Linked DNA regions of Notamacropus eugenii. The main gene of each other region encodes a partner of the protein of the gene in region 2 in a complex. Links are inferred from orthologs where the notes say so. Each region holds a gene or a part of one and is shown on either strand. Other genes may lie near its edges.

Evidence for each region.
Region 1: the proteins of TNKS2 (region 2) and SH3BP2 are in contact, whole or in part, in a crystal structure (PDB 3TWR), measured with the Homo sapiens proteins. The link is inferred for Notamacropus eugenii from reciprocal best matches to the Homo sapiens genes TNKS2 and SH3BP2. Residues at the interface, in NP_079511.1 of Homo sapiens: Arg525, Ser527, His531, Phe532, Gly535, Tyr536, Asn537, Arg538, Leu560, Asn565, Ser568, Tyr569, His571, Asp589, Trp591, Phe593, Glu598, Lys604; in NP_001116153.1 of Homo sapiens: Leu413, Gln414, Arg415, Ser416, Pro417, Pro418, Asp419, Gly420, Gln421, Ser422, Arg424.

Annotation. Positions count from the first base shown.
Region 1 is NC_092877.1:52,791,413-52,807,660, reverse strand, and holds the start of SH3BP2 (SH3 domain-binding protein 2), read right to left. Parts: upstream 7,046-16,248; 5' UTR 6,948-7,045; coding exon 6,760-6,947; intron 3,636-6,759; coding exon 3,496-3,635; intron 2,283-3,495; coding exon 2,180-2,282; intron 485-2,179; coding exon 367-484; intron 124-366; coding exon 53-123; intron 1-52. UniProt on the Homo sapiens protein: Binds differentially to the SH3 domains of certain proteins of signal transduction pathways. Binds to phosphatidylinositols; linking the hemopoietic tyrosine kinase fes to the cytoplasmic membrane in a phosphorylation dependent mechanism.
Region 2 is NC_092872.1:208,560,921-208,577,133, reverse strand, and holds the start of TNKS2 (poly [ADP-ribose] polymerase tankyrase-2), read right to left. Parts: upstream 7,817-16,213; 5' UTR 7,661-7,816; coding exon 7,456-7,660; intron 909-7,455; exon of another isoform or gene 827-908; intron 1-826. UniProt on the Homo sapiens protein: Poly-ADP-ribosyltransferase involved in various processes such as Wnt signaling pathway, telomere length and vesicle trafficking.

The DNA.
Region 1 (16,248 bases), on a different chromosome or scaffold from region 2:
TTGGAAGAAATGTGACCAAACCCCGCCAAATAGTCACTGAACAGCTACATACCTGAAATCTAATGATGGCTCTTTCTTCTCATGGTAGTGGCCTATTTCTTTCCTTAGAAGGGCCATCCAACTCTGAAAGAAGGGGAAAACAAACCTTGACCTTCTTGTTATAAATATGGATTAAATACTAAATACAGGCTTTAGGAGGAGACTGGAAGCAGATCATGCAGAGGGCTGCTATGTTGATTTGACCTTTGTAGGTTCACAGGGCATAGTATGCTAGAATTAATTTAGTTTAATTCTCCCCTTCTCCAGATTACAAGCTGTCTTTTGACCAGGCAGACATTATTATCTGAGCTACTACTTGGAAGTCACCTTTCTTTCATCTTCAGAGGAGGCTGAAAAGAACCAGGTCCGATGTTTCTTGCTGATATGAACGATCTTGAAGGGAAAGACATTGTTTGACGTTGTTTCTTCAGCGGCTCGCATTACCCTGGGAGACAAGTAGTACGATATCAAGGAGGTGCAGCAATATGATGGAATGGAAGGAACCTCGGTCTGGGTAGCAACAGACTGGAGTTCTAGTCCCAGCTCTGTCAATGCCATGCTGTGTGACTTTTAGTAGATTGTCTAGCTTCTCTGAGCTGTGAATGAGTCAGGTCTCTTTCTATCATGCTCCTACAATAAAACTTTGTCAGATTCCCCTGGCCCATGACAATCTGACACCTCAGACCAGAATCTCAGAAGCAGGAAGGAGCTCAGAGACCATCTGCTTCAACCTAAACCTGAACAGGAACTCTTTTTATAACATCCCTTACCAAGGATCGCCTAACTCTTGCAGACCTCTGGTAATGGCAATCTACTACTTTCTGAGCCCTTTATGAAGCTTTTCTTTATATCAAGACAAAATATGTCTTTGTAACTCCAGCCCAGTTCCATGTCCTGGGGCCAAACTCAACCATTCCAATCCTTCCACACGACAGCTTTTTCACAGATTATGTGAAATACAATATTACATGTAGCTTTCTCCCAATATCATAATTATGCATGTTAGTGTTTTATCTCCACAGCCAGGCTGAGCTCCAAGAAGGCAGAAACATGGTCTCATTTAAAGTTTGCAATTTCCTCAGATCCCAGCACTCTGGATACAGCTGAGGATTAATATTTGTTGAAATGAACGAATACATTGCCACATGAAGCTCAGTGACATTTAAGAGCCTGCTGGGTGCACAAATGGCTTCAGTTTTTGCTACAGCCTGGGCCAGTGTGGTCTCCCTGCTGGGTTCAGCTACCTAGAGGTGGGTCCGAGCACTTCACAAGTTCAAATGACTCAGCTCACCTTCTTAGAAGAGCTTGTCAAGCAACCAGGATGTGGGATTGTTTAGAAGAAATGAGAAAGGCAAACAAGGACTGACTGGTATCATGACTTTGAGAGCTGTAAATGCTGTGGTCTTTCACTGACCAGTTAAGGGGCTTGTGTATTTTAGCACCACACCTGATGCTCTTACCTCTCTGTACTTATCACGCTCTGCTCTCTACTTTAGGTATCTCTATTCCAGTCTGATCTGTTCCCTCTCCCTGGCCCCTCTATGGATTCTTAAGTGTTCTAGAGCAGAGAATATCTCCAGTTTATCATTCTACCATGTTGTACAAGACCTGTCCCATGGGTCCTCGGTATATGCTTGCTAAATGAATGTTCCATAATAAGCTACTGACATTCAAATGGTTCAACCCTGAGCAAATCACTTAAGCTCTTTGAGCGCCAGTAAAATGGCAAAAATTATAATAATAATTAAATAATAGTTGATGTTAATAATATAGCATGTTATAATATAACATGCCAAACATTCCAGAACAAGAGTGCATTCTGATGACTGTCAGTTCTAACCTTGGCTGAGCTATCAATTCCCTCCTTAGCATCAGGCAATTCTTTTGCCTATGACTCAGGGATAATAATCCTTTTCCCATACCCACTCTCACTGGGCTGAGGGGTTGGGGATGGGATAGGAAGGGGATAGTGATTTCCAGGAAGGTGCTATATGGCCAATAAAAGTGATCAAAGTAACTGACTGAGAACACATGGGAACAACTCAGTGGGACATGGTGTTGGATAATTTTGTTAGATTTCATAGAAAACGGGGGTGGGGCCAAGAATGCCTGCTTACCTGCAGGTACCAAGTCAACTCACCGATTATAGCCACTCAGGGAGAAGGCTCCCTGGGGAGATGCTGATGTGCTGCTCTTAAAGTAATAAATACATCTCTTGTGGATAATCACAAACCGCAATGGCCCTAGAGATAAAGAAAGGAAAAGTTTATTTTAATATATTTTGCTGATTTAAAAAAAATTAATTTTCCCAAAACCCTCTTTGCCCTTGCCTCCACCTGACATTTCTATACTGCTATAGGCCTGCAAAACCCTTTACCTGGGATGGCTCATTTGCTCCTCAAAACTACCCTTGGACGTTGTACTAATGTATTACTTTCCCCATTTTACAGATGAGGAAACTGAGGTTCAGAAAGATTAACTTATTCATTTGTAGTTCGTAGCTGGTAAGTATAAGGAGTTAAGATTCACACCTCAGTCTTGTCTGATTTCTTGTCTAAATAAAGGGTTACAAGCTAACTGATAGCCATAAGACAAGTGTTATTTATGGATTTCTGCAAAATAAAAATACCATTGTCCCAGTGTGCTTGTGCAGGACATTCAAAATAGAATGAAAAGATTCTCTAATTCTCTTATATTCTATAATTCTAATAGGGTCCTGGAGGAGAGCCATCTTAGAGGGACCGAATGGCTTTAAGAAAATGACTCCAACAACGTCCCCTCAAAGGTTACTTATTGTCCTGTTCTATGAAGCAATATTAATTTTTACCTGACCCTGAACTGTTTCACTATGTTTTACTGTAATGGGAAATTTCCCTTTTTCAAAATTCCTGTAAATGATATTTCAAAAATGTGTGGTTCTGGAGAGATGTCTTCAGCAAGAAGGGACTCTGCCAGTTTGAATATCTCTCCCACTAAGCTAGAAAAATGCTTGGATAAGAATAACAATAAATTAACTAAGATGGTTTCTGACAGGTTTGTGCCTGTAATGCTCAGTACAGTATTAATGTGTTTTTTCTTCAATACAACAGACACTTTATGTTTATAAAACATTTACCACTCTTCAAAGTACTTTCACAAACATGGTCTCATTTGACCCTCTCAAGGAATATCTTGAGGTAGGGAGAAGGAGCATTAGCACCAACATTTCAGGATGAGTGATTTGAGATAGTGACGAGTGAGCTACCTAACATCCCACAGCTTAGCAACAGCAGTTGAGTCTAAGCTAGAATGCAAAATCTTCCAATTCTCAGTCCTGTGTTCTCTTGGCTATGTCATGTTGGCTCCCTGAATATCTCTAGATTACTCTGATGGTGAGGCCCATTGTGGGAAAGGGTAGGTGGCTAGATGGGTAGGGACTTCAGGAGACAGAAAGGGAAAATAAGTGATAGGACTTACATTTTAGCAACTGCAGCTGGGTACCACCTTTTTTGTGAAGGTATCCGGACTTGACCACGCCCCCAGGCATTGTCAAGAGGTTCTGAGCTCCAATGGCCTTCATTGGCACAGGCCAATGCTGTTCCTCTGAAGCCATCAAGCTGAAAATAATGGAAAAGGATGAACTGGGTTTGGGACTTGGACAATTACTTGGAGAAAAAAACAAGGAGAAAAAAATCGAATGTACTTCTGGAAATAACAAATAAGATATATCAGTGTCTCAAAGATTCCAGGAAGTATGTAACATGGCAGCTTTTCAGAAAATCCCCAGGGATTTTTTAAAAAATTGTCTGTTTTTAAAATGGCTTTGTGGATATTCAGATTTTTATGCCCTTAATACAAGCTAGAAGAGTATGACCAATCTAAAGTTTGATGGCACCAACTTTATTAAAACATCTTTATTTCCTCCATCTTCTACATCTATCCTAATTCAACAAAATATGAAAGAATCAACTTTTTGTATTACTCTTATATTTCTGGTTTGCTTAATGCATCAGTGTCCCTTTTACTCTGGAGGTCAAGAGGATGCACTAATGATCATTTTAGGTGACCATCTCAACAAAGAGGCAGAATGAAATAAGAGATTCTGAGTCAAAGGAACAACTCCAGCTGCCTGGGTACACTGGACAAATCACTTCTCTCTTGGTTTCTTCTTCTGTACAATAAGGGGTTGGACTATATTTTTTTTGGGGGGGGTGTCAGGCTAGTGATTTTCTTGGTACAGGAAACTCCCTGTGAACAACCATCCTCAACCAATGCAAGCACCTCATCTGCAATTTATAGTCTTAGAGAACTACCAGGGACGCTGAGATTAAATTATCTGCCTAGATTCATTCAGAGACTAAACTATTTTAAAGCCTCCTTTCAATTCTAAATCCTATGATCCTATATTAACATATATGTATGTGTATATATATGTATGTGTGTATATATATAAATATCTATATCTATCTATATATCTATCTCTATATATAGTGCTTTACGAAGCACTTTCTTTACAGCAACACTGGGAGGTAAGTGAGCAGCAAGGCACATTGGAAATGATGGTGGATTTAGAGTCAGAAGACCTGAGTTCAAATCCTGACTGCCGTTTATTAACTATGAGAATCCACAAGTATTTATTAATGGCCTCCTATGTGCCAAGCATCTTGCTAAAAGATGGGGATTAAAAAGAAACGTAAAAACAGGTCCCTGGTCCCAACGAGCTCACATTCTAACGAAAAGAAAAGCAACAGTGGTTTCTGAATCCTTGATGGATCCTTTCAAATAATTTAACCTCTGGCGCTCAATTTCTTTCTCTTTGAAACACAAGGGGTGAATGACATGACGCTTCTAGCTCTAAATCTATGATGCTCTCCTCCTCTTTACAGACGTAGAAACTGAGTTTCAGAGGGAAAGGGACACACCTATGGGTTAGAAAATTTTTTTAGTGGCTAGCACTCAAACTCAAAGTCAAACCTTTTGACTTCAAGTCTAATGCTCACTCAATTTACTTCATTTCCCATCACCAAATATCAAGACTTATTGTGTGCCAGTCCCTGGAAAGATACACAGTTAGATACATACTAAGATTCTGTCCACATGGTACCTAGCAAGGTAGTAAGCCACACAGATAAATTACAAGAGAAATGCATTAGAGCAGTGCAAATAAAGGACTAAGTAAGGTCTGCAACAGAAAAGTGGGGGAAATATACTTTTGTTTTATGAAATGATAATCCAACTACCTTCCAGCTAACAGCCATACTCTAGGGGCATATGATAAGAAGAAATCAGATTTTGCACAAAGTAGAGGATTTCTTGCCAATTTAGAAAATCATTCCAATTCAACAGGAGAATGCTGGCTGCTCTCTCTAGAAAGGATACCTGTAGGAGGTGCATGTGAGATAAAATTCACCAGACAGCACTTTTCTCCTCTCTGCTCCCTACCCAAGATCCATCACAGCAAAGCACTCCCCACTATGGCTGTTTGCGTCAATTACAGCTGTTTAACTAAGAATCATGGAGCCATCCTTTGATCCTGGATAAGCTTCAGGGGATAACAGGAGCAGGGCTCTTTCCCTGAAAACCAATTTCATCTGCCTGATGTGGCACAAAAGGCCCCTCTTTCTTTCCCTGAAAGTTAGAATCAGAATTACTTACTAGGTTAAAAGGGGGGGAGGATGCAGAATTAATCAGCACCTGTCTTTCACTCAGTCACAGCCCTCTAACAGAGGACTGGTCTGAAACGCTACCTTTCTTATGTGAAAGAAAACCTGTAACAGCCAAAGGAATCTAGACTGACCAAAACACCCTAAAAAATCATAATAGTGATGGCAATTCAAATTTTCCATAGTATTTTAAAGTCATGGTATTTCGCTTACCAAAAAAAACAAAAACAAAAACAAAAACCCCAAACCCTGTAAGGCAGGGAAGTGAAGGCATTATTTTCCTTATTTGACAGGAGGACTATGAGGTTCGGAGGAGTTAAGTGATCTGCCCATGGTCACACAGCTAGTAATTGTTAGGAGCCCAAACCTGAACCAAGGTTTTCTGTCTTCCAAAGGCCAAAGCTCATTCTGCTATGCTCTTTTCCCCACTGACTGCTGTTAAACCATTCAGAATGGACAGACTAGGGGCAAAGAAGTTACATCTCACAGCAGCGCGCCCCCACGCTCCCCGCCCCCCTTCAAAAAAGAAAAAACAAAGAGACTCCAACCTTACATATACACAAAGCAAAATATATGATGGGTTAGATTTAGAAGACACATAATGAAACATGAAAAGGAAGCACCCCTCCCTCCCTCCCCCCAACCCGCCCTGTAGGAAAAGGCGAGGCATTTGTTCAACCCTCACTCCCAGCTCATTTCCAGCTCAAAAACATGAGCCTGACACAGAAAGACTCACACTGATGTTGGAAAGGAAAGGAGGGACCGCCCGGTTTGACTAGATAGAGTCCTCTCAGCAGTTCCATGTACTCACAGCACACGTGGCCGTACAATGGAGAGAGATTGGGTCTTTATCCTGGTGCACTGATTTTATTTAAAACGGATAAACAAACCTTGAGAGTGTCCCTCTCATTCCTCAAAAAGGTTAAAATCCTCCCACAGGTCTGGGAGCTTGGTGATCCTCAAGGAAGTTAAATTCCAGGGAGACACACACAGACACATATAGAAACACACAGAGCATTTGCTCTCCTTTGTTTAGGAGAGGGAACAGGAGGTGTGACCTGCATGACAAGTAACTTACTGCTCCCAGGCACGGTCCTTTCTATCCTGGACATGAAGGCAACTTGCGCAGTCCTCGGTCGTCTGCCCAGCTCTCAGCCTTTCCTTACACCTGCAGGCTTCCAGGTCTCCCTCAAAGCTAGCCCCTACTCCTGACAGTCTCCTCAGTGCCTCCACGGCTTTCTGACCCTTACGGGTCCAGCTTTCCATCTCTCCACCTGATTCCGTTTTCTCGGTCCCCGAACAGATCCTCTGTTGAGCTGGCTCTTTCCAAATCAGCTCTCCATGGAGACTTCCTTCCTCTATTTCCTGGCATCCAAGGCTTCTTTTCTCAAGTAAGCATTTCTTGCTCTTACCTCCCTCCTCTCTTGTCAATGCTGCCCCCCAAAGTGCATGACCACATCTGCTCTCTTATTTCCCTAAGGAATGCAGGGTTTTCCTGCAGAAGCCACCTCACAAGGGCTTTGACTTCAATGTGATTGTTTTTCTTTACCCCCTACCCCCACCCCCACCCCAGCTCTCCCACCTCCCAGACTCTAGATGAAGAAGGAGAAAGCTGAATCCATTGGGGTGCTAGATGGCAGGCTGAGAGGAGGTGACAGCAGGGAAGGGATAAAGAAAGCATGAAGCAAACCAGGGAAAAGGAGGCAGACTTCAGTACAACCTGGTGAGGAATAAACAGAGACAGGGTGGACCCTATTTATGAGGCAAGGTATCATTTGGCTCCTGAGACACACAGTGATAGACTTCAGCAATCGCAGCTACAGCTATCAGACAAATGAACATGTTCTCACATGCACTTAACGCAGCAAAGCTTTTTGTTATTTATGGATTCTTTGAGACACACCCGCATCCATCAGTAGTAACACCTTCAAATAGGAGGGATAACACTCTGTTCATACACTGGGTAGTATCAATACACACCCACCATTCAAGAAAAATTAAGTACCTACTGTGTGACATGCCAGGACCTGAACAAAAAGATGAAATAAGGGGAATTTTTTTTAAATCTAGAACTACAGATTGTTAGGCGTAGAAGCGAATTTAGAGGTCACTTGGTCCAATTCCCTCATTTTGTAGATATGGAATCTGAGGTGCAGAGAGTTAACTGTACTAGATCACACAGCTAGTCAGTCTTTGAGTTCAGCCACACAGCCTTCAAGAATCAGTTCGAGCCCTCCAGGAAGCCTTCTCTGACCATGTCCCAGGCCATAATCACTGAGATTTCCTTTCTCTAAAGCTCTGACAATCCATATGGACCATTTGACACGGAATAATATATCTTGCCTTTTAAAAAAAAATTTAACTTTTCATGCCATTGCATCTCTAAATAGGCTCATGAACTCCTTAATAGTAAAGGGCTCTACCTTATATTTCTCCACATCCCCTTTAGTTCTAATGTGTGACAAGATCCTGTAGACATTATGTGCTTCATAAATAAATATCTATGGAATGAATGGATCTGGCAAAGAAACACACAAGAAACCTATCCTTCCCCCCCAGAGCAGCTGCTGATCCTAAACAGCTGGATAAAACTCTGACTCCTGACAATACCCTTCTGAAAAAACTGAAGTTACAAGGGTTCAGGGTGGGGATGCTCCAAACTCTATAACCAGCAAAGGCAAGGTGGCCTTCTGTCATTATGAGACTGCCTACTTCCTTAAAGTTATGGAATATATAGTAGGGGTCTGAATTAAATTCAGTAGTGAGTAAAAATGGAATTTTGGAACTGAAAGATGCCAAATCCTCTCATTTTATAGATGGTAAAACTGAGACTCAGAGAGGAAATTACTTTTCCATTGTTATAGAGCAAATGACCTAGCTGAGGTGGCCCTAAAACAGTTTCTCTTTCACTCACAAGCCCAGCACAGTTTCCACTACAGTTTAAAGCCTCTTGTAATATTTCTGAATGATTTATTTCCTATTAAATTCCCATGTTGTCTCCCTAGTTAGACTGTGGGCTTCTTGAGAATAGGCACAATTTTTGCTTTTCTTTGTTGCTTTAGTGCTTAGCACAGTTCAGGCACTGTGTAGGCAGGCACACAGTAGGTCCTTAATAAATACCTGTTGACATGTAATAATAAAGCTAAAGGCTGCGGAAGTGAGAGAGATCCTAATGATTATCTAGGCCAGGGGTCTGGTGAAGTCTGGAGATATCTCAGAATAATGTTTATTACCTACATTCATAATTGGTGGTTGTTCAGTCGCTTCAGTTACGTCTGTCTCTTGTTTGCCATTTCCTTCTCCAGCTCATTTTAATTTTACAGATGAGGAAATTGAAGCAAAAAGAATTAAACAAATTGCAGCTAGTAAGTGTCTGAGACCAGATTTGAACTCAGGAAGATGAATCCTTTGGAGTCTAGGTCTGGCACTCTCATCACTGCACCACCTAGCTGCCCTATTCAGAACTGGAGGAAATGCTAAATTTCAGTAAGAGGTTAGTTAAAGATACACACACACTTACAGACAGACAGACAGACAGATAGACACACACACACACACACACACACACAGATGTAATTTTCCCCCTCATCTGAGTCCACAGTCTCCCTGAAATCTCTCCATGGACTTCAAGTTAAGAATCCCTGTTCTAGGCCAAGGAGGACATTAAGACCCAGAGAGATTGCCCAAGGTTACCCAGCAGCCAAGATGCTAGTCTGAGTCATCTACAGTCTCTACTGTCTCTCATTTTTATAGTACCTGAGACAGTGTTTACTAAATGCCTGTTGACTATCTGACTAGACTGAGTCCGGGTCACATCTCCATGACTTACAAGCTCTGAGATGTATTTTCTATATCTGTAAAATGAGAAAAATAACATACCACTACTTGCCTCACAAAATTGTCCAGAAAATACTTTAAAAACCTGTCAGTGCCATAGCAGTGTGAACATGTATTCTACATGTACTGTGCTCTACAGTTCAGCCCAGTGAGGAGAGTGCTGGACTTGGAGTCAGGAAGACCTGAGATCAAATCCTGCCGTGGATATTTTGAAGATGTGTGACTTAGGGCACCGTCTTTCACCCTCAGTTTCCTTATCTGTAAAATGGGGATAACAGCACCTACTTCTAGGATTTTGAGGATCTAATGAAGTAATATATGAAAAGTTCAATGCTAACTATTATTGTTATGATTTTTGCTATTTCCCGCCTCTCATCTGACTGACTCTTCACATTCCTCAGAGGTATTATCTGCCTTTAACAAAGGAGGAAATCTGGGCTCTGAGAAGTAGCAAAGTGACTGTCTAGGGAAACCCAATTTATCAATGGCAGAGCCACTTATGACTGGAGGGCCTGAAAAGATTCAGTCCTTGTCTGCAAGATACTTATACTCTTGTAACCAAAAAAGAAAGGAAAATATCCTCCAAAAACATAATAATAACTCGAAGCATCCTCCAGTATCCACCTCGGCACATAAGGGAAGAGAAAAGGAGACTGGAAAAGGGAATGTATTGGATTCAGGAGAGATGGGGCTGGGTGCAAATCCCTCCATTTCCTCTGGCTGTGCAGTTAGGCTGTGGACTCCGTGAAAGCAGAGACTGCCTCCTGCCTATGCTTAGCACAGTACTGGCATACAGTAGGCACCTAAGAACTGCTTACTGACTGGTTGACAGTTCACAGAAGAGATTCACTAGAGGTTTCTTACAGGGTTGGGTTGGGTCAGACAGAAGAGAAGTTTAACTTGACCTTCAGAGACTAAGGTCTTGAAGATGAAAAAGAAAGGGGGCACTCTGAATGTCCCTGGATCATTAGTTATTCACAATGATTTTTCTCACACCACAACAACTTATAACACAATGCAATAATGATAATGATAAAAACATACTGTGCTAAGCCTTTTACAAATACCATCTCATTTAATGTGTTCATAACCCTGAAAAGTAGGTGCTGTTACTACCCTCATTTTACAACTGAGGAAACTGAGGCAAACAAGCAGCTTGCACAAAGGCTCCACTTACTTAGCCACCTAGCTGTGTTATACTTTCCAAAGCACTTGCATTACTGCTTTTTCTGAGGAAGATAAAGTTGAAACTTCCCACCACCCCAAAATAACTGGTGGTTAGAAAACAACATTTGGAAAATGTAGTTTAATGCAGCCCTTCCCAAATTTCACTTTGTCTCCAACTGGCCATTGCAGAGCACCAGGATGCAGTGTGGGAGGCTGTTGCTGCCCAGCTGAAAAGTTAGACCCAATCTTCTAAAGCATTCCCCACTCTCCCTAGCCACACAAACTCCATCAGATTACATAAGGCCTGGCTGAGCTGAAGCTCTAACTGCAAGGCTTTACCTTCCCTAGGTTAAGAGAGCTGAATTTGGCTGTGTTCAGAGGCTGCTCTCCAATACAAATGTTGCACAAGGATGTGAATCCCTGTTTGCTGAGAGGACTCTAAAATAAAGTTCTCACATGCAGTCCACTGAGCCACAGCTGCCCTTCCTTCTCAGGCAGCCTGCCTGGTTCTAGAACAGTCCTCGTCAATGGAGCATTGTGACCCTAGTATATTCACATCTGGTGATAACTCAGCCCAAATTCCATGTGGCAGCTAATGCCACAGCTATTATTCCTAATCTGATTCTCATAAGAGGCAGGATCTGTCATAGCACAAGAGATCAGAAGACTCAGTTCAGCTTAACAGAAAACTTATTAAGTACCTGCCATCGTACAAGACCTGGTGCTCTACTTGGGGATACAAACTTGGAAAATGACACACTCTCTTCCCTCAGGGGGTTTACTATTTGCTGGGGGAATGACCAGTACAGAGGATGACTTACAGTAGAGTGTAATCATTGGGACAAAGCAGTAATGTAGGCAAAGTTCTCTAGAAAAATCTGGGGAGGGAGAGGATTGAGGAACATTTTATGGAGGAGGTCTGAACTGGACCTCGAGGGACAAAACAGTTTTCAACAGGCAGAGATGAAGAAAGAGTAAGTTCCAAGCACAGAGAATGGACTGTAAAAATGAACAAAGGTCAGAGGAGAAAGGTCTAAAATTAGAAAACAGAGAACTGGATCATAGCATGTATATGAAGCAGAATACAGGAACAGGGATGGAAAAATAGAGTGAAACCAGATTATGGGGGACCTTAAAAATCATGATTAGGGGCTCACTTTATTTAACAGGGGGCTCTGAGCAGAAGAGTGACATGGGCAGATACTTGTCTTGGGACGATAATTTTGGCAGCCACATAAATGGACTGATGAAGGGATACAGTGGTGAGAGGAAAGGTCCACCACACCCAAAAGTTGAGACTGTCCACTGAGTATGCCCCCGAGAGTTCATCAGAGATGCTACTGGAGACATCATTTCCTGTGAATTTCTTGGTGCACTGTTATGAAGTGAAAAAAGGGGGAAGTAGCATAAGGCACAACGCCCAACACTCAGTATTGCAAAGTATGGGGGGAAGGGGAGAGAAACAAAGCATGAGGGAAATTCAGCTGCTTTTGCACAACAACTGCATCATCTTGTATTTTCAGGAAAAATCAGTGGAACTTCCCAACCGACGTCTGAGAGCTTCTTTACAGTGAGACTGACTTACAAGAAAAAACCAAAGCCAAGATTCTGCCCTTGGTCCTGACTGGCACTCAACTCAATTTTAATGATTATTTAATGGATACCTCTTGAATTCCCAGTCGCAGGGAAGATGGTAGTGGTACCTAACATACAGCTAACATCTATAGAGAGATTTAAGGATTATTTTGCTAGCCATGCACCAAAACAAGACGCATCCATTTACCCAAATGAGATTTTCATCTCATGTGATCCTCCAATAACCCTGTGAGATAGGCAATATTTTGATCCTTATCGGACAGGCAATATTTTTATCCTTATCTTAGCCATAAGGAAACTGAGGCTGGGAAAACAAGTGTATGAGGCAGGATCCAAACTCAAAATCTTTCTGACTTTAATTCCAAGTCTATCCCCATACCACCTTGCCCTGGAGGGAAGTTGAGGAGACTCCAGTTCCACAGGGGTAGTGAAAGAGAGAATTGCTATCTCTTTCTATAGTTAAGTTGCTGGATTCTCATTTCCTCCTACCTTCGTCATATCCATTTTTAGAGCTAGAAGCAAGAGGGGCACCTCTAAATTGGTGAGCAGGGAAAGGTACCCTATGATTCCAAGCTCACTGAGAGAACTTTAAAATAAAATTCTCACATGCAGTTCACCAAGTCCTAGCTCTTCTTCCTTCTCTTTCCTGCTTCTAGAACAGGCTTCTCAATGGAGCCCTGGGACTCTGGTATGTTCACCTCTGGTGAGAATCCATCCCAAGGTAGTAGGAACACAGGGGACAGGGGAGGGTAGAAACAGTGGGGATGAGAATATTCAGGGCTTTCTAGAATAGGAGGCAGGGTTTCAATTCAAACCATTCGAAGGGTTGAACACATCAAAGAGGGACAAAATGCCAGGGTGCTGTGGCCAGGTGCTGTCTTCAGCTTTTGCCAAGGAGAGAGGACAGGCATTCATACAACTACAATGTGAAAATACAGTACATATGTACTATACATATACACAGTACATAGTACAATGAAAAAAAAAGTACACAGGGGAAGGGCACAGTTGAGTTGAATATTATAAAGCACAGACCACCATGTTATGGTAGGACACTTGTATCCAAGCTCTGCTCTGAAGTGACTGTGGGGCCTGGGTCCCATTTTCCTCAACTGTAAAATGGGGTTCAAAAAAATCAGAGCTTTGGAGCTGGAAGAGACCTTAGAAGTTATAGCATTGCCCCCCTCCCCACCGCCGACACTCACATACACACTACCACTACCACCACTACCACCATTTTAAAAATGAGGAAATTGAGGCCCAGAAGTTAATCTGCTTTGCCTACTTCATCAGGTTGTAAAATGGGTAAAGGGTAAAACAGGGAAATAATGTATGTGAAAAGGCTTCAATAATTCTGTAGTGGAATATTCATCATAAGGAGTGATTATTTTTTCTTTTTTAAATCTCCAGCAATAACTTAGTGGATGGATTTCTAAGATAGGAAGGTTTACCTGAAAAGTGAATTAGATGATTATAGATAAGCTGTCCCTGGACCCATGAATCCAGGAGCTCCATCCAGGGAAGAAGATATCACATCTCTTAAGTCTAGGGTCAGAGTCAACAGAAACTTTCTGACATACCACACCAGGCCCTTGTATGTATATATGTACACATACGTACACAGATGTGCACACAAATATGCACAAATACAGGCAAAACTGAACTGAGGGTCGGGAGGAATTGTGTAGGTCAGTTGGACAGAAGCTTTCTGCAACTCTGCGGGAAACGCAGTCCCAAAGCTGAGCATAGGACTTCCGGCTCAGTCTTAACCATGAGAAAGTAGAAGAACACCTCCTGCCTTCACTGAAGGGGAAGCCACAGGGCAATCCCCTCCCCTTATCACACTGCAAATGAGGTAAGGAAGCCAGCATTGTCTGGGTGAGAAGTTGGGGAAGCTCTGGTTCCACTAGGGAGTGAAAAGGAGAGAATTACTACTGCTTTCTAAAGAGTTAAGTTGCTGGCTCCACGGCCCCCCTGCCTGTCACATCTGTTGTTCAGAGCTAAAAGAAACCTTAGAGATGCATAGAGATTATAGACACCTGCAAAACTGCAGGACACTCCCCTTCCCACACTTTGGGGTATAATGAAAAGTTTGTTGGACTTGGGATTAGAAGACACAGTTATAGACCTTCAGCCACACAATTTCTCTCTCTAGACCCTAGCATCCTCAGCTATGAAGCGCAGGGACTAGATGCCCTTTAAGTACCAACCCCTCCAAATCCCTAAATCCAGATACATTGAATGAGTGATGAATCACACAGGAGCAGTCAGATGGAATGTAATTGCAGTCTATATGGACCTCTTGCTTTCCTATCCCTAAAGTTCACCCCAGCCCTGCTTTATGGCATCTCCCCAGACCTTTCCTTTTGGTACTTGAGCCCATTCAACTCAACAGCTTGGTTCTCTGTCATCTTCTCTTCCGTATTCTGCCTTTTCTTGTGGAACTTGTCATATTCTGCCTTGTATTATAATTATCTGAATCTATAGCCACTGCAAATTCCCTAAGGACAGACACTGGGTGTTTTCTGAATGTTGTAGACTCCTACTCATAGATCAACAAATATTTTTCCAATTGAACTTTATGTCACCCACAACACCTTGCACTTAGGAGCACTAGGTAAATGACTTAAAAAAAATGAACTGATTTACTACCGTATATGATAGTAAAAGGTCTTAAATTATTTTGTAATTGACTCATGTTAGTCTTTTCTCCCCCAGAGATGAAAGAGGGCTAAAGTTATCTTCTTTGGGCTCCCCAATGACACTTAAAGGAAAAAGTGTCATATCAAGAAGACATCCTAGGGTTCTGCCTCACACTCGTCAGATTAGCAAAATGACAAAAAAAGGAAAATGACGAATGTTGATGGGGCTGTGGGAAAATAGGCACATCGATGTATTGTTGGTGGAGCTATGAATTGGTCCAACCACTCTGGAAAACAATTTGGAACTATGCCTGCAGAGTCACTAAACTACATATCCTCTGACGCAGTGATAATATATCATTAGGCTTATATATAACAAAAGAGATCAAAGGAAGAGGAAAAGGACTTACACATGTAAGCATATTTGTAGCAAATCTTTTTGTAGTGGTAAAGGACTAGACATTAAAAGAGTACTTATCAACTGAGGAATACACAAAGAGAAGGAGAGTAGGTAGGAAATCCAGACAGACAGGAGAGCTTGGAAAAAAAAGATGCTGCATGTATCCTATAGTTAAGAGAGAAGCAAATGGTATGTGGTATGAAGTCGTGGTTGCCTGAGTGGTCCTCTTTTCCTGTTCTGCTTTTTACTTGGAGGTGCTTATTTTATTTGGTATTTAAGATCAGAATAGAGAAAATAAAAATAAGAAAAACCAGACATATCAAGCCTGTGAAAATTTAGGAAGTGAAGTACTTTTGGGAAATATTTGTATGCAACTTTTCCCTGACCAAACCAATAATCCCAAATATGGTTCCCTCCCTTTCCACCCCTACCTCTTCCCCACAAAAGAGAAGTTGTATGATGTGGTACACTGGACTTAGCCAGGAGACTTCAGTTTGAATCCTAGTTCAGACATTTATTAGTTATGCGAATCATATGAAAAATGAAAATAATACACTCCCTCCCTCACAGGACTGTGACTGCTATATAAATGGAATTAATATTTATGTGATTTTTCTCATTTAGAAAGCTTCTGGGATCTGATGGTAAAGGGTACCCAGACCAACCCAAATTGAGACGGAACCCTTCTTTTGGTCCTTCCATGTTACCTCTTCCTGTAACCCACCTGGGCTGCCCACAAAGACTCTAGACAGAGTGCTCCATTTCAGGTCATATTCCCCCAAAAGTGAAATGAAAGAAACTGTATCAAGGCTTAGTATGACTGTCTTTGACTCCAAATTTGGGTCTAGAAATACTAAAGCTGAAGTGCTCCAATCCCTTGTTGGGGAAGTCAAAGTACAGCTCATGTGATAGCATATTAAAGTGG
Region 2 (16,213 bases):
AAGAATAAGATCCAAATCTCTAGATCCAATCCTCCCTCCCCCTCTGAAATATGAAGTAAAACCAAGGCAACTTGGTGTTTTCTTTGATGATTATGTTCATATATATCTTTGGAAGAGATTCAGCAGTATTTTATCTTAAGATCATTTATATAAGAAGGCTGAGTATTTGCTCAGATGGTATCTTTATTTGCCATGTGGACTAATAGTGAATAGAGGAAAACCCCTAGAGATTTTGAACCACTAACCAATAAGCAGTACTCCTAGTCAGATTCTAGAGAAATATAATGACAAAAGTGAAAAAGCCTCTGCCCTCTATGAGTTTATATACTATGGGAAAATCATGTACATACTTATATAGGAATAGATAAAAGGTGAGAGGTGGGATACGAAGAATTGGGAACTCAGGAAAGGCTTCATGTAGAAGCTGGCACTTGAACTAAGTCTTAAAGGAAACTAGGGGTTCTAAGAAATGAAGGTGAGGGGAAAGTGCATGGCAGATATGGGAGACAGCCAGCACCAAGAATGGAGATGGTAAATGGAGTGCTATGTACGTGGAAGGCCACGTTGGACCATTCAGTACATAAAGAGGAATAGTATGTTAATAAGGCTGGGGAGGTTAGATTGGAGCTTTCCTCCACCAAATTTCCTATGTCTGTGATTTGGGTACAGTAAAAACAGGCTACTGCCCTTAAGTTCAGAAAGCTGTTCCAGTGTTTATTTTCTTTTACAGGGCTCTATTGTTCATTTCATCTCCCCTTGTTGCCCCCCTTCCATTTGTAATTTTCACAACTCTAACACTGCTACCTCTTCTCTCTTGAGGGATTAGGTAGCATTTATCTAGGTAATGAATCATTCAAGTGGAAGATGGTACTCTGCAGGGCAACTGAGGCACCAGAGTTAGGTAAGTGAGAAAACCCTCTATTTTCTCCTTTATAAAGAGTGACAAAATCTTTCATGTCTGAGAACTTCCTCATCCAGGTCAACACCATACAACAGAATAGTATGTTGCAGTCCATGATTCACTGAATTTATAGAAAGAGCAGCAAGGTTTCTTGAGTGAGAAATGGGAACATCATGTGCTAGGTGAATCAAATCACTGCCACCATCTTCCCTGAGATCCAATGGAAAAGACTCTAACACTATATGCCAAGAGCTGGGAAAGTAACACCACACTCCTTCCCCCCAACCCCACACCACTGGCCCTCTGCCACCACGAAAAAGGAATAACCCTTGAAGGCATGACCCTTGGGTGCTATAGTACACGAAGACTTCTTCCACTCCTTCCCTTTAATCACAGCTACTGAAGACTCATCTAGGAAAGTTCTCATCACCAAAGTCCTTGACACTTTCAAACTGTTCAACTAACAAACAAATATTGTTTTAAAAATGGAAGTAATGCAAAAGAAGATGAATTCTAAGAACTAGTGGGCCTTTCCATCTGATATTCAGCCGAAGACTCCTATATGTGTTGTCTTCCCCTATTAGAAAGTGTACTGCTAGTGCTTTACACACAATAAAGGCTTAATAAATGCTCTTGCATTCAGTTTTCCTTTTCCTTCTGTCTGTACTTCTTTCTTGTCTCTTCTGTCTCTGTTCACTCTGGGGTTACTTGAAAAGACTGGCTCTTGAATTGGAGCTCTTCCCTTCCCTTTTGGTCAATCAATCAGAATACATTTATGTGCCTGTTGAGTCTCGGGCACTGTGCTAAGTGCTGGAGATACAGAAAAAGGCAAAAGAAAGTCCTTGCCCTCAAGAAGCTTTACAATCTAATGGAGCTAATGGTCAGAAAACTAAAGAGTCACAGCCTATCAGTTGTGTGAATCTTCTTCAGTTCTTTAGATAATTTCAAAAAGGTCCTGTATTTTTCTTTCTTAATTCCAGGTTTGGAACTATTCTGGATATTCAAATGTCCGAAGACTGGTTCCCTTAGTGTACTCCAAAAGAAAACCATGGCTTATTAATATTTATTATTATTATTGTTAGAATCAACTTTTTCTTTTTAAAGAAGAATTAAATGTATTTGGTCCTAATGTATACAATCATATTCCTCTAGTTCACATTATAGGTTACAAAAAGTCTGAACAGAAAAGATTTTGATTTCTAGATCAAGACTTAAGATGCAGGGATGCCAGACTCCTGATCAAGAACAGAGCACAACTAACAAATGCTAGTAAGAATGTATTTTCTCAGTGCCTTAAAAATTTAATAAAAAAAGTTTAAAACTAAAATGTGTTGGGGAGGAAGAAAACTGCCGAAGTACATATACCAAGCTAGATATAGGGAGTAGCTACAATTTATGAAAAAAAGAGACTAGCAAATGAGACATCCGAAAATTCTCAAAAAGCAAAATCCAAGAAGTCTCCAGTGGTAAAACCCAGCATTTCAAATGTCTATACATAAATGCCCCAAGTTTACATAAAAAGCAAGTCGAACTAGAGGTCTAAACATAAGGAAGCAAATTTGACTACACTGGTATTGTTGAGGCTCAGTGGGATAAAATCTGCCTGGAATATAGTTCTGAAAAAATATAAATTACTCAAAAGAAAAAGGTTAGGTAAAAGGAGGGGAGCATTAAGAAGGAATACTCAGGTTAAGAGTATTTAGGAAGCAGAGCATGGAAGACAGCATCTTAGCAAAGGTCAATGAAAAGAGTTAAGAGAAGTGTAGACTACATATGTTATCACTGGAACATACTAGAGAGTTTCTGGACAGAAAAGAAGAAACAGTTCAGGAAACATCACAAGCCTGGCATAGAGGCATAAAATAGTGATGTGGGATTTCAAACATTCAATCATTTGCTGGAGCAATACCTCCACCAAAAGCAATGCATTTGTCCTAAAGACAATTTCAGCTTTCAAAAGGTGAAGGAACCAACAAAGACACATTTTATACTGAATCTTATTCTAACAGAGAAAAGCTAGTTTCTGGAGGAGAACCTTGCTCCTTATTCCCCTCCCCCCCTTTTAAGTGACCTTGGTCTCCTTAATATTCCTTGAACTGGACACTATATGTCCCAAGTCTGGGCATCTTCACTTTCTTTCCCTTACGCTCAGAACCCTTTCCCCCTCCATCTTCCTCTCCTATTTCCCTCTGGCTTCCTTCACATGTCAGCTTAAATCCTACCATCTGCAAGAAACCTTTCCTGATTTCCCCTGAATGTCAGGGCCTTTCCTCAGTTGCTTATTTCCAATTTATTCTGTACATAGCTTCTTTCTACATAGTTGTCTGCATGTTTTCTTCTCTATTAGACCGTGTGTTCTTTACTTTTTCTTTTGATCCCTAGCACTTAGCACAGTGCCTAGCTTAATAAATGCTTGTTAATGAACCTTGAAGAGAAGTGAGCACTACCTCTTAGAGTTTGTGATGGAGAAAGAGAGGAATCACTGGGAATGACATTCTGGGAGTTACAGGTTCTGGGAGAACAGGATTCAAAGGGTTCAGTGGAAGGCTAGTTAGGAACCCATGAACCCATTCTACAAAGGAAGCTATAAACCCAAGAGCGAAGACTTTCAAGAATTCAAAGGGAAACAATTTTAGTAATGAATAAAAATGGTAGTTGCCTGAAGATATAAATGTAGAAGCAAAGAATAACTCAACCAACAACTTTTTTTTAAAAGGTATATTCAGAAATGGAAGGGCAGGTAACAGAGGGTATGGTTCTCTAAGAGTTGTCAACTAGCTGAACCATTCTGTGAATCAACGTGGAATTATTTGAAGAGAAGTACTGAAATGTCTGGACCTCGGACCTAAAAACTGTACCTCTAGGCATAATCCCCTAGAAAATCAGTAACAAAAAGAAAGGTCTCATATGTACCAAAGTATTTAAACAGAATTTTGGGGGGTTTGAGAATGAAGTGAACACCATATCATGTCAGAGTTTTTGGACATACTGGTTGTTTTTGCAGAACTCCCCCACCTATAATAATATATAGCATTTATTTAGTGCTTTTAGGTTTGCAAAGCACTCTGCAAACACCTCATTTTATCTAATTCTTGGGAGATTGTTAGAAGAGACAGAGTTCAAACTGAGCTGATGCTCATGCAAACTGAAGTATTCTAGGGAAAATGATCTGTAGGAATAAGCAAAATAATACATGCACAAAATGAGAATCTGATACCTAATCAGAAAATTCAATTCCATTGGTATGTTTTTCCCTTAAGAACTCAACCCTCGATAAAAGTATGGGATGTAATTCTATAGTGAAAAGTATCTAAGACTCTGAAGAGTTTCCTGTTTTTTAAAAAAGTCAACAAAGTAAATATTTAGACAAAAACTCTTGCAAAACTTAGTTGATATTTCTTCCCACTTTTTGGAACTAGAATTTTTCTAAAAATTTCTTGGCTGTACATACTACTTATTAAGGCTCCTTTTCTGCAGTATGTGGCCCTCATGCTACCACTACCACTTTGGGGGTGGGAAATCCATGACTTTTTAAAATGTAATTATTTGACTAGGAATCCAAGGAAAATGAAATTCTCTCACTCTCAATATTGTCTCTTTTAGTGATCATCAGTGTCCATGGGTTTAACTATTATCTCTATGTGATGAGTCTATGTATCAAGACCTACACATATCCAGCTATAGTCTCTCTTCTGAGTACCAAAACTACATCACCAACTGGATCTCATAGCTCCAAATGTCTTAAACAGGACTCATCTTTCTCTCCAATCCCATCTCTTCTCAGAAATTCCCTATTTCTGTTAAGGGGGATTACTATCCTTCTAGTTAACCAGATTTATAATCTTGAAGTCCTCAACCCTGAACTCTCTTATCCCACATATTAAGTCGGCATATCTCTCAAGTTTATTCCCTTATCTTTGTTCTCACAGACACTACTCTTATCACCTCTATATGAAGGACTACAAAGGCTTCTAATTGATATCTCCTACTCCAGGCTTTCCCCTTCTAATCCATCCTCCACATAGATGCTGAATAGATCTTATTCAAAAGACAGCTGGTTTAGCAGCAGGTCACTATCCCGCTAAAAAAAAAAGCTCCAGTAGCTCCCTATAGCCCTTAGGACAAAATATATACTCTGTTTAGCATTTAAAGATCTTCAGTCTGGCTCCAGCCCACTTCTAAAACTTAATATACACTCTTAAGTTTAGCCAAAATGGCTTATTTGCTGCTCCTCACAGAGGTCACCCTCAATCAAAACACATTTATTAAGCACTTACTGTATATTATGATAAGTGCTAGAGATACAAAGGTCAAAAATTGTACCTGTGCTTTCAACTTCCATACCTTTGCATAGGCTGTCCCCCATGCCTGTAATGGGCCCCACTCCTCACCTCCAACTCTTAGAATATCAATCTTCTAATGTCAATTCAAGTTCCTTCTTCTATAAGAAGTATTTCCTGACCCACCCCTCATTACTGCTTCTCTCACAAATTACCTTGTATTTACTTATAGTGTACTGTTGTCTCCTACAGAATGCAAGATACTTGAGGACAGAAACTGCTGCTTTTCTTAATCTCCCCAGTGCTACGTACAGTACTAGGCACATGGTGGACACTTAATAAATGTTGTCTGATACAGAAAAATGAAAAGTCAGCTTTTCCATGTAAAGTGGAACTACCTTACAGATGATAAGCAAGTTATTCAAAATCCTTATTACAAAATACAAGCAAAAACATTATAAGTGTATGTATGTATGTATGTGTGTGTGTATATCCATACACATATGCTTATTAGTCATAGAGAACCACCCAACATAGATATTTACAAAATATCACTGTATCAACATTACATAGTTTATAAAATGGAGGTTACAGAATTACTCTTCTGAATGGAAAGAAAAAAATGTACAAGTTCTATTCACTATTTTAAAACTAAGGAGTTCTCATTTAGATTGAATTTACAAAATTTAAATTAAAAAAAAACTTGCATTAACCTTTACTTTTACAGACTTTTCCCAGTTCTTGTCTCCCTCCCCTTTAAATTCTTATAATCAGTAATTGGAGGGCAAATTTAGGTGTAGGGGGTTGTTGAAAGGTAACATGAGGTCTCTGGATAAAGGTGGGGGAGGAGAAACCAACATAACTACAGACATCTAGATTATATTTTTTACCCATCTTCAAAGGCTTTTTCTACTAAATGCTTTCCTATCCCACAGACTGAGTGGACTCTAAATAATCTTATTTTCATATTATTAAATCAATTTGCTACATTCCCTCAAGTCAGGAAGCAGTTGTTTTACTGTAACCTACATTGCCTAACAGAAGTTCCGGAATGCTGGGCATGCCAAAAACAGAATCCATTAAAAAAAAGCCTTAGACACAATTGTATAAAATAGGAACATCAAGTCTTTGGTGATTTCCCATTTTGATTTTCCCATACTGCCCTTTCTCTCCCATGTTTTAGCAAGAGGATTTTTAAAAAAAGGGTGGGAGTGAGAGTCAAATTTGGTTTTTGTTCAAGAAAAAGGGAAACAAGGAAACAAAAAATTAGCACAAACTTTAAATGAAACAATACATGTGAACTTTGCAAACTGTAAAGTGATACACAAATGTCAGACTTTATTACTTCTTAGCAAAGATGGGATGGGACAGGACACCTTCCCCCCCCTCCAATGAAAAGTTTAGGTAGGGCTAGTCCCAAACAAATTCTCAAGTAGACGTACTAGGGGCCCACAATTTGTCCGGAATCCTTTTGTCCCACCCACTTATCAAGCTGGGCCCTTTTCTGACTACCCCCCTTCCCCCATTCCAAATCAAAATTTCCAAGTCCAGTGTAAAAGGAGACAAGTCCAAAGGTATGCCAGCCAATCTGCTGATCTTATTGTGTATTCCCTCTGTCACTCCCCCTCCCCCCTTAAAGTAATTTCACCCTCGATTTTCTAATAGCTCCAACTGGTCCTTTCCTTTCAGTTTGCAAAATTTTTTTATTATACCTATTTTTGTAATAAATACTCCTTGAATTGAATTATTCAAGTCTTACCCCCCGTAACTACTACATGAACGCTGCTGGTTATTACCCCCATTCTCCCCGTATTATAGCGTTTGCATTAGAACTAAGGCCTTTAGTGCCTTAACCCCACAATTTAATAGTAGAAATTTCTGGTAGGACACGAGTGAACATATAGGTCGGAGGGGGGGTGGGGGTGGCCAAGAGCCTCTCTAGCCTTCAAATCACCCCAAGAGTGAGTAGGGCAGCTCGTGGTCCCCGACCCAGTCGCTTTATCAGGACAGGAAATCCCGGTGACGAATTCGGGAGGTGAAAAACAAACAAACAAAACGCCACCTACATGGTGGGTGGTGTCAAGGGCCCGCAGCTTCCCCCATCCCCCTTCTCGGGGAACCTGGGCCCAGGGTTCTGCCGAGGAGTTCCGCCTGGGGCCCGGGCGCTGGGGGTGGGGTGTGGGGCTGCAACATCCCAGACCGCCCCAGGCCCGGGGCGTGGGGGGGAGCTGTGCGCTCCACTTCCGGCCGGCGGCGGTCCCCTAAGTTAGTTACCTGCGGCGAAGTGGAGGGGGGTGGACTTCCTGCCCGCCGTGTCGCGGCTGTTCACCTTCTCCGGGGTCACCAACTTTTTGACGCGCTCCACGTCCCCGTTCCGACAAGCCTCGAACAACTCCCGGGCCGCGGGCTCTACGGCCTCCCCCGCCGAGGCCGCGCCCGCGCCGGGTCCTCCCCCGCCGGCGCAACGGCGGCCGGACATAATCGCGGCCAGCGGCGGCGGCGACGGCAGGAGGAGGAGGGCGAGGCTCCCGGGGAGAGACGTACTCAGAGTCCCAGGCTGCTCCGTTCCGCTCCGCCCCGCCGTCACCGGCCCTGGCGCAGGACCATGGTCCCCCCCCTCCCCGCAGCGATCCCTGTGCCCAGGCCCCGGACGCCTCGAGCTCCCTCGGCTGCCCAGCCGCTCAGGCAGCGCGAGTCCCTCCCGCCCCGCCCCCCGCTCCCTGAGCGGCCGCGGCGACGGTGGCTGCAAAGGCCACTCCGGCTGGCTCTGGGGACTCCGGGAGGCTCACGGGACGGCCACGGATGCGCGTGCGCAGAAGCGACTGACGCGTCAGGCAGGTTTTGCTCAGAGGGGGGAGGGGCCTACAGGGAACTAGACTAGAGGAAGGAGGCCGTTGAGGCGCAGGCGGAGAAGGTCCAGGGCCTGGCTGCCATGTTGGCTGCTGGGGCCCCTTCCGCCCACAGTGCTCGGTTAACTACTTCTGCGCATGTTCTCTAAGGGGAGATTCATTTTTAAGCCTTTTGGCCTGCCGAGAGCGCTTGGGGACCTCGGCGCGGCGCGGAGGCCTGAAGCACCTTGGGGACCCTTCCTGAGGGAAATTTCCGGTTGTTTGCCTCCCCTCCTGTCGGCCCTGCCCCCTGCCTCCCCATTTTCTTTGCTTTTAGTAGCCGATTTCTAGAAAAAAGAGAGGCCCAGCCTGATTCCCGCCGTCGTGAAGGCCCGCCCCCCTTATTACTTTGTGTTCGCTTTCTACCTGGGAGAGGGATCCCCTAAGCAGCCCGCGCTCGGCAAGCCTTAGATCTCGATTCAAGGGCGGGCCTCGGGGATTCGCTCCTCTTTTTACACGCTTTGAGTGTAAACATCCCGAGGGCTAGGACTGTCTAGTTTTTGCTTCCCAGCCCGGGGCGGTGTAATTGTGTTTGTAGCCCCTTTGAGAGGAATACAAACACTTAGAAGGTGTGGTAAGAATGAGATGAATGAATGCTCGAATCCTCTCTGGACCCCTCGATTTTTAACTTCTCTGCTCGGACGCCGCGCGGTTCGGGGGCGCTGGGCAGTTACAACAGCCTGCCGTGGTCCGCCTGTCTCGAGTCTCTGCCCTAGCCAACCCAGGAATAGCCACGTCACCCCCAAGGAGAAAATCGTCCCAAGCCCTTCCTAACCCGGCCTCCTCCCGCCGTAACAGCCTTCTTACAACATACTGCTTCGCACCTACCCTCCTATCCGGTAACACTGGCTTGTTTCTTGAACGAGACACCGTCTCTAGACTGAGTTTTAACCGCCTGACATTCTCTCTTTTCTCCTCCCTATCTCTTGCTTTCCCTGGCTTCCTTCAGGTACCAGCTAAAAATCACATGTTCCACAGAGAGCTTTTCCTCAATGCTAGTGTTTTCTCCCTTATTATTTACATCCGAGCTTCTTGAAGACAGAGACAGTGTCTTTGTAGTCCTAGCTCTTAGAACCGTGGCTGGCCGAAGGTAAACGCTTAACAAGTATTTGTTGAATAATGATAAATTCTTTAGTCGATAGTAGAAATGTGGAGAGTACAGTGAGGGAATTGTATTTCAAATCTCACCCGAGAGGTACCTTGTCCTTGGACCTTAATCCTTTTTTTTTATAAAAATGAGAATAATAGCACCCAGCTCCCTGGGGTTGTGAAAATTTTGAGAGATAATAGGTTAATCACTAATAGGTAAAGTGCTTTGCAAACTTTAAAGCTTGGCTAAGTATAATATAATAAAAAAAGAAAAAAGGGTCTAGCTGCTAAAAACCATCCCCCAGCTTGTTTCTGAAAGGACTAGGCTTGAGGGTCTTTGTTACAAGATTTAGAGTTGTAAGAGCCTTTAGAAAGTCATCCAGTCTACCCTCTCCTTTTGGAAAAGTAATTCAGGCCTACTGAGGTCTCTAAGTGCTCTAGGCCACTCTAAGACTACAGGGATCCTATAGCATGTGTATATAATGAATGCATAATACTAAGGCCAGCTGCTTGAAGATAATGTCCCTTTCTTAAACCACCCCCTCAAACTACAGGCTGCTTTTTTGTGACTTTCTTGTCTTTTTCCTTCAAGGTTCATTGTTAGCATATTTCAATTATAAAAAAGGTTGAGTAGGTGGGGAAGGACACACAATGTTATTTGTCCTAGGAACTGCCTCCTCCTCCACTCTTTGTGTTCTTGAGGAGGAAAAACAGTATAAACTTTCAGCTCCAGCTTCTAGATCAAGATGCATTAGAGTCAAATACAAATTTATTTTTTTTTAAATAAAGCATATGATGACTATTGGCATTTTTGTTGTTGAATTCATTTTGGTGGTGAGTAGAAAATTGGTCTCAAGCCTCACATACTGGCTCTAAGTGCTTTAGGTCACTCTAAGACTACAGGAATCCTATATCGTCCCCAAGGAGTTTACAAGGTAATGGATGATAGCTATCAGATTCATACTGGGACTGCTTCATTTTTATTTTTGTATTTCTAGAGTCTGGAACATAGCAGGCACTTAATGTGTTTTGACTGATTGCTAATTGATACAGTTAGAGTACTAGCCAAGACAAATGTTTTAAAAAATGATTACATAGGAAGTATAGAAAGTTCAATTAGAGATCTTCAAGCCAAGGCTAGACATCACTAGTCCACTATGTTGTAGAGAGGATTTTTGTGCAGATTTAATTTGGACTTGATGGCCTTTAAGGTCTTTTCCATCTTTGACACTCTGAATACGTGTAGAGCAATGAGAAGTGTATAGAGGAGGAAGCTGCCTTACCGGAGACATCAGATGTTAAAGCAGTTTGAGGTTAGTGAAAAGAGCTTGCTAGAACTTTAGGGATTGTTACCTAGAGAATTTATATGAACTAACAAAAAATGAAGTAACCAAAGAAGAATAATTGTAACATCCATATTATAAAAATAAAAAATTTGAGGACTTTTAATAATGAACAGAACCAGAACAATTTATATAATAGCAACACTAAAACAGTACTTTGAAAGCTGTAAGAACTATGATCAATACCATAACCATTCATGATTTCAGAGGACTGATAATGAAACATGTTATCCATTACAGTCAGTAAACATTTTTTAAGTTCTAATACGTGCCAGGCACTATGCTAAGCGCTAGGGATATAAAAAGTGGCAAGACAGTCCCTGCACCCAAGCAATTCACAATCTAATGGGGGAAACAACAAGCAAAAATTTACAAAAATCTATATACATGATAGGGAAGGGACTAGAATGAAGAGACTGGAGAGGGCTTTCTGTAAAAGACAGGATTTCAGTTGGGACTTAAAGGCAGCCAGGGGAGTTAGTAGATAGGGAGCAGGAGGGAAGAGTAGTCCAGCATGTAGGACAGCTGGAGAAAATGCCTGGAGCCTTAAGATGGCCTATCTTGCTTAAGGAACAGCCAGGAGACCAGTGTCACTGGATCAAAGAATAAATGTTAGGGAGTAGTTGTAAGAAGACATGTAGGAGGGGGCTAGGTTATAAATGCACTTGAATGCCAAACAGAAGATTTCATATTTGATCCTGGAGGTGTTAAGTGCCACTAGAGTTTATTGAGTTGGGGGTGTGTGGTGAGGGGGATTGGGAAGGTAATATGGTTAGACCTGCACCTTAGAAAAATCACTTTGGTGACTGGAGGATGGATTGCCGTGGAGAAACTTGAGACAGGTAAACTCAGTAGTAGGCTATCATATAAAGGTGATGGATTTAGGATGTAGAATGAGACATATATTTTATATGCAGCCATTTAGGGAATTTGTTTAGCTTAAATGGGAGTAGGAGAGAAAATAGATTTCTGGTTTGTTTGTTTTTTTTAGACAAGTGGGAAGACCCACAAATGTGAAATGTTGTATAAACTTTCAGATAAGGTTACTATATTATTACTTTTGCTGTTTGTTTCATCATCAATAAAACTTTTTAAAAAGAAAATTTGTAAGCGTAAATAACATCACTACTTTTCTGGTATTGCAGTGACTTCTGTAAATTTTTGTTTTGTCTCTTTTTGTTTTGTGAATTTTTTCATAGAATGTCAAATTCAGGGAGAAGTCTCAAAATCCATCTAGTGCAATATGCACCCACACAAAAAACCCCTCTACAACATAACTGGCAAGTAGCTTCACCTCCAGCAATGGAGAACCCATTACCTCCTGAGACAGTCCATTCCACTCTTGGATAGGTCTAATGGTAAGAGTTTCCTTATGTGAAGTCTAAATATACCTCTTTGCAACTTCCACCTGTTGCTCCTAGTTCTTCCCTCTGGGGCCAAACAAAACAAATCTAATCCCTCTTCCATGAGACAACCTCTAAAAATACTTGAAGATAGCTATCATGTCACCATACTCATTACTGTAATTCAATCATACTCTTGCACTCAATAACTGGTCATTTTCTTCAACAGCAATAATGAGATTTCTCAAATATATATACATGTGCACACATAAATAAAATAGCAAGCATATAAGCTAGTTTACATAAATGCTTATGTTTATTTAAATATGCATATGTTTATATATTTGTTAAAGGGGAGAAAGAACCCCTGATAATCGGCAAAAACTTCATATCCTCCTTAGTTCCTTTTCTCAGACCTTTGTGTTCTGAGACAATTGCTCCCACCTAGTGGTTTAAAAAGCACACAGACTTTTAAGGATTAGTAGAATAGAAAAGAATATGAAAGACCAAGTCATTTTCAATTATGCATAATTTGGAATTTATCTGCTAATATTAAAAAAAAAATGACCAGTGGAAGTAGTGACCTGCTCCCTATCCATGCCTCTTCCACTTGGACTTTCAATTATCTTCGCATTATTCCCTAAACCACTTATTGGCCTGCTCTATGATATAGTGAAGTGCCCTTCCCTCCCCGTGCACCCCTCCCACCCAGGTCTCCTTTGTGTATTGTCTTCCCTCACCAGAATTCGAGCTTCTTCAGGGCAAGGTCTGTCTTGCCTGCTTGGATTTGTCTTCTCATTGCTTGGCACAGAATAAATGCTTAATACATGTTTCTTGTCTTCTCCTTAATATGTTAAATCATATTAAATGTAAGCACTATAGTACAAGAATGTTTGAAAATTCCTTGTTTGGAAACAGAAAATGGTCAACTAGAGCTATCAGTATAAAAGGAACCAGCTTAGATAGTATGATTGGCTATATCGATTGATTAGAGTATGATACCAATTGTGTGATTTGTTGTTATTGTGGCCATTTTGGGGTTTTCTTGGCAAAGATACTAGAGTGGTTTGACATTTCCTCCTTCAGCTCATTTTGCAGGTGAGGAACAGTCACCTAACTTGCCCAGGATCACAGAGTGAGAAAGTCTCTGAGGTCAAACTTGAACTCACGGAAGCTGAGTCTTACTCCAGGTGCCGAATTCTACTCATTATGCCACTTAAATGACTAATTACATTGTTGAAAGAAAAGTCAATTGACTTTGCTCTTTCATAGAGACAATCTCTCTTAACTTTGGGTCAACCATTCTACAAATAAATGTCATTGGTCACTGGGAGTCTGAGGGAATCTAGAAACAAAGACACATCACATATACATTGTCCCTAGTGGACAAAATTTAGCACATTTCTTGGCCTCAGTTTTCTCATGTGTAAAATGAATATTTAGGACTATATGATGTCTAAGGTTTTCTCTAGCTCTAAACCTATTAAGGAAAGGGTAGTGAGCCCCTCATGTGGAGAGGGGCCACATATGGGGACGGTTTATCCTTGTGTGGCTTGAAGGGAGACAGAATAGACATCTCTAGTCTCTTTTCTCCTTGGCTTTTTCCAAGGGAGGCTTTCATTCTTGCAAGTGGGTAAGCAAGAAATTGGGGGCTAAGGCCACTCTGATCTCCTCAGATAGAATACTGGGCTAGAAGTATATCTTATCTGCTTCCTTAAATATTGTTAATCTAAGGGGATATGATTGGGTTCCATGCAACTTTTGATAGCTTTGTCCTTTTGGGAATAAGGATCCTAAGCTCTGTATACAAGGCTTGACCCCTTCTCCACCTAATACCAGTTCTACAATGAACACACATATAGCAAAGAAACCTATTTATACAAATCAACAACAAAACAGAAATAAGGGAATGTATACAAGGGAGAATATATACCAGACAGTATGAGAGTGAAGAAGCCCACTGAGAGTGAAGTAACAGCTCAACCAACATCTCACTGGAGGGGCAATTACCTGAAATCTCTAGAGTAGCGAGTGGGGAATAGGACCATGATAGAGACTGCCAGCTCCTCACATGTTTTCTCAGTCTTTCCTTCAGCAACTTGAAATGGGGTTGGTTTCTTCCGTTTTTGTTCTCAAAGCAGGAAGTCAGAAGCACCCAAAGCAACTTGCAGTTTGAAGAGTCTTGAAGAAGACTGATGCTTCAAGAGTCCCAAAAGGAACTGACCAGGAAAAGGGGGACCAGATGAGAATTGAAGCTCCTCTTGTCAACTCCATCCTACCTCTCATTCAGGATAGGGCATTCATCTCCACTAATGAGGAGAGAGTTCCATAACAATGAGTCTTGACATAGGGGTTATATCTATGATTCTATGGTCCTACATGCCTTATATTGCCTTTATAAATTAAGGACTACACACTTTGTGTTGTGTGATTATATATTGATTGAATCCAGGAACTTGGAAGTTTGTATGTTAAAATAATTCAACATTTCCATAGCACTTACAGATGTTCAAAGTACTTTCTCACAACAAGTCTATGTGGTAGATGGTATACATGCTATTATCCCCATTTTATGGAAAAGGAGACTGAGGCTTAGAAAAATTAAGGGACAACTATTGTCATAAATCATTTAAATATCAGCTAGGCCTCAAAACCAAGTTTCCTGACTCTAAACCTAGGACATTTTACATTAATGCTATATTATGGGTTCTTCAGTGTTTACAATGTTTTATTTTTAAATAAAAAATTAACATTTTAAAATTTTGATTTCCATATTCTCTCCCTCTCTCCAGCCCCCCCCCCACCCATTGAGAAGGCAAGCAATATGATACCCATTATACATGTGAAGACCTTCAAAATATATTTCCATATTAGCCAGGTTGCAAAAAAAAAAGCAAGAAAAAAGTGAAAAAAAGTTTAAATCTTCACTTAGAGTTCATCAGTACTTTCTCTGGAGAATGGAATTATCATGGATCATTGCATTGATTGGAGTGGCTGAGTCTTTCACAGCTGATAACTGTTACAATATTGCTATTACTGTGTACAACATCCTGTTAGTTCTGCTTACTTCACTTTGCATCAGTTCATAGAAGTCTTCCCAGGTTTTCCTGACCCTATCTCCCTCATCATTTCTTATGGCTCAATAGTATTCTATCACAATCATTTACCACAGTTTGTTTAGCCATTTCCCAATGGATGGGTATCCCCTTAATTTCCAATTCTTTGCCACTACAAAAAGAGCTTCTATAAATATTTTTGTACATACACGTTCATTTATTTTTTCTTTGATCTCTTTGGAATACAGACCTCATAGTGGTATTAGACAGTTCCAAATTGTTCTCCAGAATGATTGAACCAGTTCACAACTCTGCCAATGTTGCACTGGTGTATCTATTTTTCTACATCTCCTCTAGCATTTGTCATTTTCCTTTTCTGTCATGTTAGCCAATCTGAAGGGTGGTATCTCAGAGTGGTTTTAATTTACATTTTTCTAATTATTAGTACTTTAGAGATTTTTTTTCCCCACCCGACTATTGGTAGCTTCAGCTTCTGAAACTTACTTGTTTTACCCTTTGACCATTTTTCAGTTAGGGAATGGCTCTTATGTTTACAAATTTGACTCAGTTCCCTATGTATAAACAAGGAATGAAGGATTTATCAGAGAAAGTTGCTATAAAATCCTCCCCACCCCAGTTTCCTGATTTACTTCTCATTTTGGCTGCATTGATTTTGTTTGTACAAATGTTTAAAATTTCATGTGATCAAAATTATCCACTTTGCATCTCTCACAACCCTCTCTATCTCTTGTGTAGGCATACAATTTTCCCTTATCTATAGATATAACAGATAATTTTTTTCCATGCTTCTCTACTTTGCTTATGATATCACCCTTTATGTGTAAATCATATACCTGTTTTGATCTTATGTTAGCATACAGACAGTTCTCACTTTATATAAGTAGACTGTTCCACAGATCTCTATTTAGAGCAATTTTTACATTGTGTGAATTTTCCCCTTCCCACCTACTTCATTTAGCATATATGACAAAAGCATAAACAAAATAATACCTTAATACAAGTCACAAAATATACCAAAGTGCAGATATATTAAATACTGTACCATAATAAGCAGAATTATGAGATGAAAGGTAAAGTTAATAATAAAGTATGCAGAGTACATACAGTAAAGTTAACATGTGTGCAGCATGTTGCCCCTTGAAATCACTCCTGATCCTTAGGTTATAATAATGAGGTAGTGTTAGTGGAAAGATACACCACTTTTATATTTTCATTAAAATCATCCATATGGGGAAGGTGACCTGGGGATTTATCCAAAATCAGTAAAATCTTGAAAGGAATACCATTATCAT